2 linked regions of the Caenorhabditis elegans genome follow. The protein of the gene in region 2 purifies or fractionates together with the protein of the main gene of each other region. This does not show direct contact. Each region holds a gene or a part of one and is shown on either strand. Other genes may lie near its edges. The genes, in order: egl-30 and rgs-7.

Region 1 (9,118 bases), on a different chromosome or scaffold from region 2:
GCTGGGAGACGTCCATTTTTTGTGAGATGGTCTGGAAAAAGCAAAAAATGACAATTTTCAAGCAAAAATTGAGGAAAACGAGCGATTTTCTACCTAAAATCTTGAGAAAATCGTTTATTTATTGAACATTTTACCAAAAAAATTAAAAATGCCCATTTTTTGTGAGATGGTCTGGAAAAGGCAAAAAAATGACAATTTTCGAGCAAAAATTGAGGAAGGGCGATTTTCTACTTAAAAAATGGTTTATTCATTGATTTTTCACCGAAAAAATGAAAAATTCTACAAAAAACTGATTAAAAACAGGAGAAAATGAAAAATTATGAAAAAATAATTTCAAACCCAAGTCAAATTGGCTGAGAGACAACGCGACGGCGAGAGACGCAGAGTGGACGGGTCTCGTCACGATATCGCTTTGTGTCGATTTACGGAGGAATTTCCAGCCCGCAGATTTAAATCAATGATTTTCGCGCGCGCTTTTTTTCCTGAATCATGATTCGAATCATACATAAATAAAATACGGAAAACGAGGTTTTTTTAATAAAGTTTCAACCATTTCTTTTTGTCCACAAAACATTTACATAAAATTAGATCAATGTTAATAGAAATAAATATGAAATTAAAAACTATCGCAAAAAGTCGATACAATAATGGGGAAGAAGAAGGGGGGATGGTGTGTGGATGGGGGATGGTTTTTTTTTCGGTTGAGAAGAAGAAGAAGGAAAAATGACAAAAAAAAATCGATGAAAAATGGAAAAAAATAGGGTGGGGGGGAGGATTTCGAGGTTAGCTTGATGGGAAAAAAATATGAAAAACGGGATTTTTAGGGTAAGGGTGAAGTTTGGGGAGGGGAGTGGAGAAAGCATTCGATAATTTTCGAAAAAAATATGGTGAAAACTCAAAAAAAACGTTATAATATTTGAATTATGTGGATGTGGGTGGGAGAAATTGAAGTTGAGGAGGAAAAAAAAACTATGTCCAACACGAAAAATGTGTTTTTTTTGTGGTTAGAATTGTTAGAAAGGTAAAAAAAATAAAAATTTGAATCAAGACAAAAAAAAACGAAAGAAGCGGCGGTTTGTTGTGGGGATTTTTGTGAGAAAAAAAAAGACAAAAAAAAAAATTTTTTTTGTGAATGACAGAGAGACTAGGTGGTGTTTTTGCATGCCGGAAACTAGGTTGATGGGTAGGGAAGGATGTGAAAACCGACTTTTTGTGATGATAAATGAGTATAGACAGGACAGAAAGAGAGAGAGAGAGAGAGAGAGAGAAGTTTTGTTTCTTTTTGCATTAGCTATATCAGAAAGCACATCCAAAAAAAGAAGAAAAAAGTGCTTATATGGAAAGAATATTCGGGAGGAGCATTTGTTTTAGGGAGGAAAATGAGAAAATAAGAAAATAAGGAAGAGATGGAGAGAGAGACAGACAGAGAGAGAAAGTTTTTTGCAAAAAAAAAACAAAAATTAGAAGGAGTACAAGAAAATGTTTCCTAGGTTTAGGTGGTGGTGTCTCACTCGACCCAGTGAGAGAGAGAGAGAGAGAGAGATGGATCATCATCATCATCATCCAATCCGACATGCGACTTTCTTCTTACACCAAGTTGTACTCCTTCAGATTATGCTGTAGAATTGTGTCTTTGACGGCGGCGAACACGAACCGAATGTTTTCCGTATCTGAAATAGAGGTCCCTTTTATTTGAAAATTTTAGATATTTTTAAACAATTTTTTAGTAATTCGCCATGAGCAACTCTAAGTGTCCATGGGACACCGAATCGGTAACCCGTGGCTACCATAAGTGCTTTTCTCGAACACGGAGTTCTGGCTTCCCTGGAAGAGTTTGGGCCATTTTAGCTCGCCCATATCTGGAGTAGATTTACGGCGCGTTGCGTGTCGCGGCTCAATTCTAGTTGTAAAACTGAATTTATTTATCCGTGTGGAGTACACGACTTTATCCGGCAGACACGATTGTCAATGGAGCGCGAAAATTCAATGAAGAAGGCTAGAACCCCGTGCTCGAATATTTTCCACCTAGCAAACAAAGAAAAGACATACCAGTCGCGCACGTAAAATGAGAGTAGATAATCTTGTCGGCGTCCGGATTCAAGTCGACAAACATTTTGAGAATAAACTCGCGGGCGGCGATCGGATCGCGTGGGGGTCCTGAAAAGAAAACAATTTAGGTGGGTGAAATTTGCCCAAATAAAGTCTCTCAATAAAAGACTCTACAAACCGTCATATTCGGGAAAGTAGTCAGCGAGATGCGAGTACAGAATCTTCTCCTCGAGCAGATCCTTCTTGTTCAGGAATAGAATGACCGATGAGTTGGTGAACCATGGGTACGTGATGATCGTTCGGAACAGAGCTTTCGATTCTTCCATTCGGTTCTGCAAGATTGATTTCTAGTTTGTTTTTTTTTTGCACTATTGTAAGGATTATCACTCTACACTTCACATATTTTAGTTCTAGCTGACAATTTACAGAAAGAACGAGCGAAATCGGTAACGATTTCTACGACGAGAACAATTCGCGTGTTGGGAGAAACTCCTGTTTGAATTGGCGCCTTCGGTACCTGTCGTGTCGAGACCCGCCTGCACATCTTCCCGCGGAATTGGCAACTCTGCGTCTCTCACTCTCTCTCGTCGGGCAGTATATAAGGCGAGTGCGACGCTCATTAATCATCATTTCTTGACCTGTCACCTGTGTTTTGCTCATCCCCAAATCCCCGTTATTCTGTTATCTTACGTTATCATACGTAAACCACTTGGCCCTTAATAAATGCTATAATATTCTACTGGCTCTTCATCACACGCTTATCCCACTGTTACTCTATAGTGCAAATGAGAAATAGCTTAATATCCGCCCCGGCCCCTTGAAAAATGCACATTTTCCGGGCCGAATAGATTGTTTTCGGCCCCTAATTATGGTGCACAGTCGGCGACTAAATTGCATATTTTCGCTTAAAGCCACTATCTCCCTCTCCGTATCTCCGTATCTCTTGGGAGACGAAAAAAGCATCAGAGATTGTTTTCAGCTCATTATATATATATACGAATACCGTATAGTTTTTTCGTAATTAGTACTTTCTCCAGGGAGCTCACCTCGTTGTCACACTCGACCAACACCTGATCATACTCGGAAAGCGCCACCAGGAACATGATTGAGGTGACATTTTCGAAACAGTGGATCCACTTCCGCCTTTCTGATCGCTGACCTCCGACGTCCACCATTCTGGAAAACACAATTTTCCGTTTTTTGAATGTAATTTTTAGTAAATTAAAAAGCTCACCGAAAGATGATCTGCTCCAAATCAAATGGATATTCAATGATACCAGTGGTTGGCACACGAACACGCAGAATGTCCTGCTCGGTTGGCAGATAGTCTGGCACCGCCAGCCGTCGGAGATCGGAGAGATAGCTGGAAGATGTTAAACGAGGTTTAGAAAGAGGTAAAATATTTCAACAAAAAACCACTAAAACTCACTATTTGGCTGAATCGGTGAGCTGATATTCTCGCCTCCTATCATAACATTCCTGAATACCAGAATCCTCCCATAGCTCTTTGATATACGACACGTAGGGTTCCTCGAAAGACGTCACCGACTCGAAATCCACTTCCCGCACCACAGCCGCCTTCTCCTGCAGCTCCTCTGATTCGTTACCAAACTTTATATCTAATGTGTCCATCGCTCGTATCATAGACTGGAAAAAATAGTTCGAATTTTAAGGCTTCGGTCGATTTTTTTAAATGGAAAAACCCCCCTTTTTTCCATCGAAATGAGTATTTTAATCTCAAAAAATCAATTTTATTATGTAACCGCCAAAGATCTCATAGCGAAGTGTACAGAAACTTTTAAAATATTTTTTGAAACTACCATGGTGTCAGAGTGTCTTATTTCGGTTTGATCTACGTTGATCTACAAAAAATGCGGCAGAGTTCTCAACTGATTTAGCATGATTAAGAACGTCCCTGACGTCAAATTCTTTAGGGCGAAAAATTCGAGCACTTTTGTAGATCAAACCGTAATGGGACAGCCCTGGCACTACGTATTAGTTTCCGGTGGTAATTTACAACTTTTCTGTAGACTTCGCTACGAGATATTTGTTGCGTCAAACATCTACTGGCGGTTTCGTAATAAAATATGAGTTAAAATTCAAAATTTTAAAAACAGGTTTTCAGATTCCTAATTCCTACCTGTATGGCCATAAACACGTTCTGATAGACAAGTCGAATGTGTGCTCGCTTGTCCTCTTCCGAATATCCCTGACCGTGGATAATTCGCATCTGCTTGATGAACGTTGACTTGCCGGACTCTCCAGTCCCTGAAAATTGAATTTTTTTTTTGGAAAATGGGTTGTTGGATATATATATATTGTTCAATTACTGTACCTGAGAGCCTGGTTTTTAATTTTTCTCGCTTACCTGGATCTTTCATCATTTTTATTTTTAGGATTTTTTTGTTGGAACATAATTTTTAATGGGATTTAACGTGGTTTTAATAGTTTTGGGAATGCTAACTTCGAAAATACGGTGGGTTCGCCTTTAAAAATTACTGTAGTTACTAACTTTTTGCTGAGTTTGAATTGATTTTTCTTCCAAAATGTGATGTTACACGTGGTGATACTATTTCATTAAAGCTTGATCTACAAAAAATGCGGGAATTTTTCGCCCAAAAATATGTGACGTCAACACGGTCGTAACCATACGAAATCAGTTGAGAACTCTGCGTCTCTTTTCCCGCGTTTTTTGTAGATCTAGGTAGATCAAACCGAAATGAAACTCTCTGACACCACGTGATGTTAGTTAAAAAATTAACCACCTTTTCAATAAATTTAAGAAAACTGGTGAAAACTTATGAAACATCAAAAAACTACGGTACTCTTTAAAGGCGCACGATATTTTGACAGAGAACGCTGAATGTTAAAAAATCTACATTTGATTACTGTTTTCCTTATTTATGAATTAAACTTTCCTTTTAATTTTTAATTTTTTTTCATGTTGAGAAACTAACATCAAACAGATCATGCAAATTCAATTTTTTCCAAAAATTTTTTTTCCAAATCCGTTCCAGTTCCTTTTCACAGTCCCGATTCCAGCCCATGTCTGCCCTTTTTCTTGCCAATCTGCTCCTCCTTTAAAGCCCTCACACAAATTTGGGGCGGGTTGGAAATCAATTTGCACTGCTGCATACAACACACACATACACACAGACAACTCATGTCCATTAGTCATTTGTATGTGAATTCATCTAGTTGCTCTGTGGCCGAGAGAGAGAGAGAGAGGAGCCCACGCCTGCGTCTCCTAGTCCATCGGTCCCTATGGCTGGGTGGAGGACTGGCCAAGCTTCTGCTGCTGCTCTTCACCCCCATCCTTCTTTCTCTGGGCTCTTCCTAGCCCTCCCCGTGGTTGGCTGGGCTGGTTGGTTGGTTGGTTGGTTGGCTGCGCTGATTAGGTTGTGGCTTTCCCCACTCTCTCCCTCTCTCTCTTCCCTCTTTTCCATCGCGCGCGCACACAGCAGCCCCTCTCTCTGGTTCTCTGCGTCTCGCGCTCTCTCGCTCAGAGACACTCAAACTCACGCGGAGCACACTCTCTGCTTTTCCAATACTCCTATGTGTGTGTGTGTCGTCCCCGTCGTATTCTTCATCTCTCACTCCCCCCATTCTTTCTTTTTGCCGCTGCTGCTGCTGCTGCTGCCACCGATCAATACGCGCAGCACAGACGCGACAGGGAAGGGGGAGGGGGGGGCGCTGTGAGGGCAATCCACCAGCGCGTCTCGCTCTCTCTTACCATGCAAATGCTATATACGTACACACACTCACACACACATATATAGATATATGTGTAAGGGAAGGGAAGGGAAAGAAGAAGAAGAAGAAGAAGAAGGGGGTTTCGGGGGCCGGCGGGGGATATATGCCCCCGACAACGACGACGCGCCCCACATTTTCGACATATTAGGGGGGTTGGAGGCCCCCCCCCCAAATAGGAACGAAAAACGGAACGACACGCAGAGAAATAGACTGTTTCATACGCGCACTCCTACACACACACACACACACACTTGGAACTGTTTATTGATTTGGTTTTACAGGTTTTTTCAGAGACTGGAACTGGAACTGTCATTTTAAAGGAAAACCGTTCGGAATTGCGATTGATAACGAGGTGTTGAAGGGGGAAAACTGGAGGACTGATAAGGAAATTATGGTGATAAGGAGAATGATGAATGGGCGACAAGGGGCAGGTGCAATTCGAGAGGGTGTAAATGGAAAAAGTAAACAATAGATAAATAAAGTTTCGGAATAACGTGGAAGGCTGTGGGGGTTTTTTTTTCTTCAAATTTTAGCTTGGCTCCCAGGATTTCAGGATTCCAGGATTCTACAGGTTAAATGAATATTACACCGACTTCTTGTTGAAGGGAACCGGTTCTTACCCAATAAAAGAAGTTTGAGTTCTCGTCGAGCATTTCTTTTGTCACGCTGAAGCTGCTTCTCAATTTCTTGATTTATTCGCTTCTGCTCGCGAGCCTCTTCGGATAAACAGCAGGCCATGGCGGCCGAAAAGGTGCCACCAAGGCCGCAGATGAAGCCAGCGAATAGAACAAGAAGAACACGCTAGAGCGAGGATAGAAGTTCGATGCAATTTTTGTATTTCGGTGGGACGATTGAGGGCGTCAAGTTATAAACATCACAAAAAAACAACAACACAACAACGCACAGGGATGCCTCTCTGTTGGTGGAAATGTGGTGGTGGCGGGTGTGTGTGTATATAAAGCTGATCGCTTGACCGAAAAGGACCGCTAGCTGACGCACGCACCTAACACGCAACGCGCCGGCCTCCCCTCGACCGTAGCACTGGTCGCTGCGAGACCAAGATACGCGTGTCGCCGTGCCGCACTCCACTCTCGCCACGCTCTCTCGTTTCGCCTTGACGCACGGGCTCTACTCGTCTCGTCTCTCGCCGCCGGCTTGCAAACACTAAGATTTTGTGCCCCGATTCACGTATTGAATATAATTCTGCGTTCTAATGAAACCGATCTCACTGGAATATGTAACAACATTTTATTCAGAACAAAACAAGAAAAAATGCGGTTTAGAATCGCAATTTGGTGAAGAACCACTTGTTCTTTCCGGTCTTGTAACGCTCCTCGAACTTGGACTTGACTTCGACGAGGGCCTTTCTCTTCTTGGACGGAGCCTTGAGTGCCTCCTGAAAATTAAAAAATAATAGGTGAAATATATTAGAAATCCAACAAACCTTGTTGATGTTGGTCTTATCGAAGGCGACATCGACGGAGTAACGAGTTGGGAGCAAGTGAGTGTAGGAGACGACCTTGAGGAATGGCTTCAGCTTATTTCTCTTCTCGATCTTCTTCTTTCCCATGTCCTTGGTAACCTGAAAGAAAAATAATTAAATCCCGAACAAGCAACAGATGATTGTACCTTCAATGGGTATCTGTCGATTCCAGCAATGATGGCGTGTGGGTAGGTTCTGTCCGAAACTCCCTCGTCTTGTTGCTTGACGACGACGGCCTTGCGACCAGCATACTTTCCTCTGAGGACGAGGACGACCTTTCCAGGCTTCATAATCTTGCCCATATTTACCTGAAAAAAGTATTAGTGAAAAAGAAAATAGAAGAAATTAAAAGGATAAGAGACGAGCAAAAGAATTGAGATATAGCCTGGGTGGAAACCAGTAGAACAGTAAAAACATTTGAAAGTAATAACAAGAAGAGTGACTTTATTCATTATAAATCCTCCTCAATTTGTCCTTCTTTCCCTTGTAATGCTTCTTTCCATTGTTTTCGGTAGGAGCAGTTGGAATGACGGTTCCTAACGTTTGAGGCAATGCTTTTGAATCTCTGACATGAGCAACTCCGATTGATCCGACAAAGTGTTGAGAGTCAAATTGTGATCCCTTCAACTCATCACCCTCGAGAAGCTGAAGCTTGGCAAGCTTTTCCATCTGCACCCGACCAATATCACGAGTCTTCTTGTCTGGATAGGAGATTCGGTCAAACTCTTCTTGCTCAACTCCGGGAGGTGCGGCTGCCCAAATCAATTTTCCACTGACAACATCCTTGAACATCAGCCTCGCGGCTCTGGAACAATCCGGAATTCCCGACGACGCCATAAATCCTCTCATGAACGCGAGCGAGTTAAGCAAGTTGATTGCAGAAGGACTTTGCATCTCTGGCAGCATAATCGAGTATGTCGCCTCGATGACATGAACTGGAACACGGGAGAGTAGAAGCGACGTTGGGCCGAAGTGGTCACGCATTTGATCAACGGGAAGAATACCTGCAATCGAATCGAATTTGGAAAATATTATTTTAAAACTACGAGTTACCGTTTAAAAACATTTCGCTTCGTCCAAAAGAGAAAGAAGGCATGACAAGTCCGGGACAATCACAAAGGCATAGTTGGCTGTCGATGTGAATGGTTTGGAAATGTCTCGTCTTTCCGGGTGTTGCTGATACTGAAACCTTCTTTCCACCAGCCAGCTTGTTGATCGTAGAACTTTTTCCAACGTTAGGATAGCCAACCATTCCAACCATGACTGGCTTTGCTGACGGCTCATCTGATACGTGACCAAGTTCCTTGAACTTCGCAATCAGCTCATCCTTGTTCGTTACGAACATATGTGTGGAAGTTGATGGATTTGATGTTTCTACTGCGTCTTCATCGATTGGATCTAAGACTTCATCGATAGCCGACCTGGAAAAAATATATTTAGAAAATATTGATTTTATCGCGTCACTCACCAGAAAATTACTTTGATATTTTCCTTTTCGAAGTATTCCCTCCAGCTGGCCTGTTGTTCCGGTTTCAGAAGATCTGCCTTATTGACGAGAAGAAGAATCTGCTTGGCGGGATCAACTTCCTTGACGTAGTCATCCAAATCTTTACTGCGGAACAGCAATGGATTTCGAGCGTCCACGATTTGAACAATGATGTCGCTCTTCTCGACAACTCTCCAGAGCTCTCTCCACATGTCAGGATTTCGCTCGAAAGGAGTCAGTACCAGTCCGTCCACCTGAAGAATAAAATATTAATCGTCTTTCAAACTTCCGCGTGCCTCTTGCAGCTCGCTCAGGTCGGACCTCCATTGAAGGAATGCTTCGTTTTC
Region 2 (5,874 bases):
GTGAGCTGAGGCTTCCACTCAGTTTGAGCACGCAGAGACGATAGTCTGTGTGCTTCGCTGCTGCTGGAGTAAGTCGATGAACGAATTGGAGACATTTCCTGCAACTAGAGATAACCATCAAGACGCACTTCATTAATTTAATTTTCCCCTCTCTCGTTTTTTCGGAAAGTCGAGATCTACCAATCGTTGTTCTTACTATTATTACGTACAGTATTTTCCCATATTTGATATGCGAAAATTAGAATATTGACAGTTGTCGATAAGATATTCAATTGTGCATTGTGCATTTTATCAATGTTATTATTTTCATGATAAACGGAAGGAAAGACACGAGATCACTACATGAATAATAAAGATTCCTAATTTTTTAATAGAGAAGTGCCAGTGGGAAAGTTGTTAAAAACCACTTTTATAGTACAAAATGACCAAATTTCATATTAAAACCACTGACAGTCAAAAAGTGTCAATCACTGATTTTTTTGCCATTTTTTGAGAAAACTATAGCGGTTTAACATGTTCGAATCTAATTTTTGAATATTTATGTTGAAAACATAAATTGATCGTAAAATCTGAATGGAAAAATTATTTTTGATCGACGAAAAGAGTAACTAAAACTGAGAATTTACCAACGTTTGTAACAAAATACAGGACTTTCATAAAAATTTTGAAAAGTTTTACTATGATATTTGGTCATTTTTTAATACTATAGAATGCGCTACTACACCTTTGAAATACTTCGCTGATATTTTAAAATGACTACGAAACCATTACCTCAATAGCTGAAAGATCGCTGGATCCGTATCCCATCCTTGGTCTTCTTGGTGGAACAAATCTGTCACGTGATCGAAATGATGAGTCGTCTCCCCGCCGAATTTGCGAGTACATCTCCTTGTGTCGTTCATTTGCCAATTGTGGAGTTGACCCGAACGTTTGGTAAACTTTTTTGTTGTTCCCAAGAACGTTGGGCTCATGTTGTTGATTCATTAGAATTTGACGTCGAACGGCTTGTGCAGCGATTCCGCAGACTGGAGCACGTCTTCTGCAAGAAATATAAATTGATAGAGAAATTTGTGTAGTAGGTTTAAAAAATTTGAATTGTAAACTCACATCAGAGCTTCGAGACCTTTGGTTTTGGTTCTTACAGTATACGTCATAATAAACAGGATTAGTTACTGAAGGAAAAACGGTTGTAAGATTGATAGAAATACAAACGAGAACTGTTCCCAAAGGCAAAACTCTGGGATGGCTCTAAAGGGGCGGAGTTAGGAGCATGACAGAGACGAGAGGAGAGAGTATCAATGCACATTCTCAGCACATTGCAAATGACACGTGTTCGCTAAGTACAGAAAAGATGAGCTAATTAGGGAGTGAAAACAATTTTGTTTGGACAGTATCCTGCTGACAACCGTCAATTTCAGTAGGGGGATTATAGCTGGAAGGTAGAGCGTGTGACGAGATGGGGTGAAAAGACAGGAAAGTGCAATTGGACACTAATGGGTGGATAATGTTTAATAGGCTATTTTCCAATTAAGGTTTGTGAGTGTGTGTGGTTTCAAAAATAAACTTTGAGAGAATTTGAGACGACTTTTTGCGTAACTGAGATAGTTGCTCTCTTCACTCGGCATATTATAATAGATTTGATTTGAGAAGAAATAGCATGAAATACATTTTCCAGTGCAAAATCTTCAATAGGGAATTTTGAAAATTACTTATATAGTATGAAAAATATCAAACACCAAGGTAAATTTAAAAAAAAATTATGTGGCAATTACAAATTTGTCAACTTCTCCTAGCAAATACAAATGTTCTCTGAGCGTTTTTGTGAAATATTTGTATTATATTCCAATAGTTTAAGGTTTCGCACATGCAGAATTGCTCAAAAGGCCTTAATATTTCAAAAAAGTTGGCCAACTGCAAAACGTTTCCCTAAAAAATTTGATATTTTTATGAACGTTTTAGAGTATTTATGATGTTTGGTTATAAAACTATTCACAACATTTTAAAGTTACATATATATGCCGGATTATCAAAATTCTGAATTATTGTTACGTAGTTTTTCACTTTAAGCACTACAAAACACTGTTTTGCTTATCAACCTGGAAGTCTCTAGGCAGCGTCGAGTCTAGGCGTCATCTGGTGATGATGATGTACAAATTATTATAACACACATCAATGCAGAGCATCAAATGTGATACGCAACAAGTTTTTGCGCAAGTTTTAGTGCCCCTGACGTTCCAGCAGCCACGGGGGTAGAGGGCTATTCGTGGCGTTGCGCAACTGAAAATCAAACCACGGTAACTCGACATCCAACGTAATTTGCAATTATGCGAACATACTCAAAACTATACATATTACTGGGGAAATGTCGGATGGGCAAAGTAAAAATTTTGTAAGAGAAATTTTAGAAACATTTAATTATTAGTATAAAAATTCAAAACTCATAGTATCAGAAAATGACAGAGATATCGGTGACCAATTAGAATGTTAAGAACAGAAACTAAAACAGAAACCTCTAAATCATAAAACGTCTACAGAAAATACAGGATATTTTGGTTTTCTTCGATTGGTCACATTAACGGAACGGTTGTCGTAAATCTTGTGGAAATTATAGAGGGACTCGTTTAATAATCACCTATGCTATTGTAGCCTTTAACAATCGATCGATTGCCGGAAATCCAAAACTTGTGCGTTCATGACATTGTATACACGCCAAACAAGAAAAACTTTGAGAGAAGTTCAATTGATTCACTTGAAAAGGCGCGGATATTTTTAAGCAAACATTTGACGACGAAAATGGGCATTTAAGTGGATGAATCAGGTCAGTGATACCGACTCAAATACTACTACGCGTTTCTGTCATTTCAAATGTGAAAATAAATGTTCTTATTGGGCGCAAAAATTTAATTTTTTTTTGCATATTTGAAGAAAAGTGTCTAAGGGTACTTTCTACATTCTTCACAAAATCAATGTTGTTAATTTTTGCTTCTTTTGATCATTCGAACCAGATTTGATATAATTGAGAATGTTCGGATTGTCAAATCACTATTGTCCTTTCTTTCTTCCTTTCTAACTCTAGTATTTTACGGTCAGCGTAACAGAGCAGCCGACTGGGATGGGGCAATGCGTTCGTTCGTACACCAGAGGCTAACCAGTATGTAGTGTGCATGGTCAACACATACATGCCTCGTTTGTTTGAACCGAGGTGTACAATAGAGCGCATTTAATTGAACTGTCTCCCATTAGGAAAAAATCAGCAATTGGACTAATCAAACTTGTACTAATGCAACTTTTAAAATTGATGAATTAAATAAAAATTTCAGAGGATGAAAATTTGAAAAGAATCTTCTATGGTCTATTAGTTTTGGTAGTTTTCGATTTCGAGGAATTTTAGATTTAAAAGGGAAATTAAAAAATTACTCAAAAAATACACTTTCTGAGAACGACCAAATATGAACTGGGATCCGGGCAAAGCAACAGTATACTGAACTATGAAGCAAAAACCTATCAAGCGAAAAATAAATAAAATAGTTCTGAAAAGTGACAGAAACCAATTGTGCGGAAATTTGTGAAACGTATTCGAAATTCGTTTGAGAAAATTTTTAGGATAGCAAACTTGTCACGTTTTTTGAAACTTTTCTCTCGTGATTTTAAAATACGTTTTATAATTTTCAGCACATTTTTTCAAAAGTATCTAATATCAACTTTTGAAAACATTTAAAAGAACTCACCTTCCCCACAGCATCTCGTCAGTTGTAGCTTCCGAAGGTCCAGTGGATTCAGTCGTGTCCTGATAGCTTTCCGACTCGGAGCCTGAGAAGTCGTCGTCGTCCGACACTGACGATACTGGAAAAAATCAGATATATAGTCATAATAACAATAGCAAACATCTGGAGCATTCAGGTTTGCAACAAAGCAACTTACTCGATGATTGATCGTCATACTCGTCTGCATCCTCGTCTGACATCTTGTCAATGCTGTACTGCTGGACTCCGGCCGTTTTATATTTGTGTAGATTGAGCTTGATTCTTCGATTTTGACTTTCCATCTGAGTGAAACTATACTAATTGGAACAGCAATAGAAGGAGAATTGAGAGAGAAAAATGATTCATAAACGGCAACGAAGGAGAAAACGTTGTGTCATTTTAGGCTAGGGTTATACGGCTCAGCATAGAAACTAATCCATCTTATGTTATTGATTGACTGAAACACTATTTTATGTATGAGGAAATTTTACTTGTTCCGAAAAAGAATAAAAACAAACAATTTATTCTAAAACACTAAGAACTATAATACTTCAATTTTGTAGATTTCAAATGAAGTTAGCTATAAAAAACTTAATAGAAAAGTACCGTCTTTAAAAAAAGTTGAGTTAAATTTATCAAAATGTATGGCCTTTAACAGAAAAAAGAATTAATTACGAGAAAGTGCAAAATATGGATAACCAAATTAATTTTAAATAAATTTACCAGCCGTTGGAAAAGAGAAAACTTCGAAAAGCCCCAAGATTTTAGTCAGGAAATCATAGCTTTTTTTGAAATTCAGAACAATAAATTGTTTTCTAGTTTTAAAAAATATTATAAAATCGAATGTACTCTTTTAATGAAACAAAAAATATCCGGAACAAAAAACCATTTCCGAAAGAAATCCATGTAGTAAGGCAGAACTAAATAGCAAATGACCCGCAAGTTTATGAGATCAAATACAAGTGAAGGTGAAGGAAAGGAAGTTACAAGGAGTAGTTGACAAAATTTATGGTGCGAACAACCGCTACTCCGTTTGTCGGTGTCGATAGGTGGTTGCGTAATATTTAGGTTACAAATCGAAACCATAAAATCTTTACTGACAACATCTAGAGTTTACATTCTTAGAGACAGAAAAAATAGAAAAAAAAAGACTGAACTTATAACATTCGACTCACTGCCAGATGGTTTCAATGAAAAATATGGCCGAAAGTTTTAGATTTTTTGGTGATTTAGTGGTTGGGAAAAACGCAGAACTTTGCAGACGGAATATAAGTAATTTTGTATGATAATCTAATTGTCTAGGCTTACTGATAAGGAACCATTATGTTTTTTACTTGTAGATAATATGTGATTAATACTGTGCCAGATAACGTTCTACAGAACTACTTGTTTAGCGCATTCCCTAACCTAGACACCCAGTGAAACGTGACTAATAAGTTTTCAACTCTCGATTACTAGTTTTTCTGGCCTTGATCAGATGACGGAAATCCAATTATGGAAAATCAATAGTCCGTAAATAAACACACCTTAATGATAAGTAAATTTTACTAGTGACTCACTTGCAGATGAGGTCAATTTTATAACGAACAAAATTACATACGAAAAAACTAGTTTGAAACCTTGAAAAGCTAAGAAATTAGATAAAATAGCTTTTCAAATTTGAATGATGAGCGTTCCCGCCGGTGAACAATTCAAACGTGAGTAGAGAGAAGAGACACAGAACGGCGAGTGTTCGTCTGTGTCTTCCTTCTTTCCTGGCTGTCTCCTCTGACCGGCAATTGAGGAGAGGGGACCCATTTAGCGTTTGTATGTGTGTATGTGCGTCTTTCCCCCCTCAACACCTGCCATCGTGACCCACGATCGCGGACGCGATATTTATGGCCTTGGCAAATAGCTTGGAGACTTTCCTTTACTGTTGATTCAACTTTATTGATACTTCTTCAATTGTCTGACACCATCAGTCAAATTTAAGACAAATGAAAGACTGTTCAGGCAACTAAGCTACGATGAGCATTATTGAAAAAAAAAACAAATTGAAAATCAAGAAAGGGGATGTGGCCTAGTGACATGATATGGATAATTGTCAACAGAGCAACAGATGAAGTTTAAAAAAAACGTGGGGGAGAAGAGA

The links.
Region 1: the proteins of rgs-7 (region 2) and egl-30 purify together in Caenorhabditis elegans (affinity purification with western blotting, with the first as the bait; one study listed by BioGRID). This does not show direct contact.

Annotation. Positions count from the first base shown.
Region 1 is NC_003279.8:1,833,358-1,842,475, reverse strand, and holds egl-30 (Guanine nucleotide-binding protein subunit alpha), read right to left. Parts: upstream 6,816-9,118; 5' UTR 6,697-6,815; coding exon of another isoform or gene 6,604-6,696; 5' UTR 6,541-6,603; coding exon 6,423-6,540; intron 5,826-6,422; exon of another isoform or gene 4,318-5,825; coding exon 4,190-4,317; intron 3,697-4,189; coding exon 3,479-3,696; intron 3,413-3,478; coding exon 3,284-3,412; intron 3,226-3,283; coding exon 3,096-3,225; intron 2,382-3,095; coding exon 2,228-2,381; intron 2,158-2,227; coding exon 2,050-2,157; intron 1,798-2,049; exon of another isoform or gene 1,731-1,797; intron 1,671-1,730; coding exon 1,588-1,670; 3' UTR 511-1,587; downstream 1-510. Other genes in the region: emr-1 (Emerin homolog 1), read right to left, coding at 1-16; rpl-27 (Large ribosomal subunit protein eL27), read right to left, coding at 7,082-7,198, 7,247-7,384, 7,432-7,587; C53H9.2 (Large subunit GTPase 1 homolog), read right to left, coding at 7,730-8,289, 8,339-8,706, 8,754-9,025, 9,068-9,118.
Region 2 is NC_003284.9:3,540,721-3,546,594, reverse strand, and holds the start of rgs-7 (C2 domain-containing protein), read right to left. Parts: upstream 4,048-5,874; 5' UTR 3,965-4,047; coding exon 3,922-3,964; intron 3,844-3,921; coding exon 3,729-3,843; intron 1,190-3,728; exon of another isoform or gene 1,155-1,189; coding exon of another isoform or gene 1,108-1,154; intron 1,040-1,107; coding exon 772-1,039; intron 105-771; coding exon 1-104. UniProt on the Caenorhabditis elegans protein: Inhibits signal transduction by increasing the GTPase activity of G protein alpha subunit egl-30 (G-alpha(q)), thereby driving it into its inactive GDP-bound form.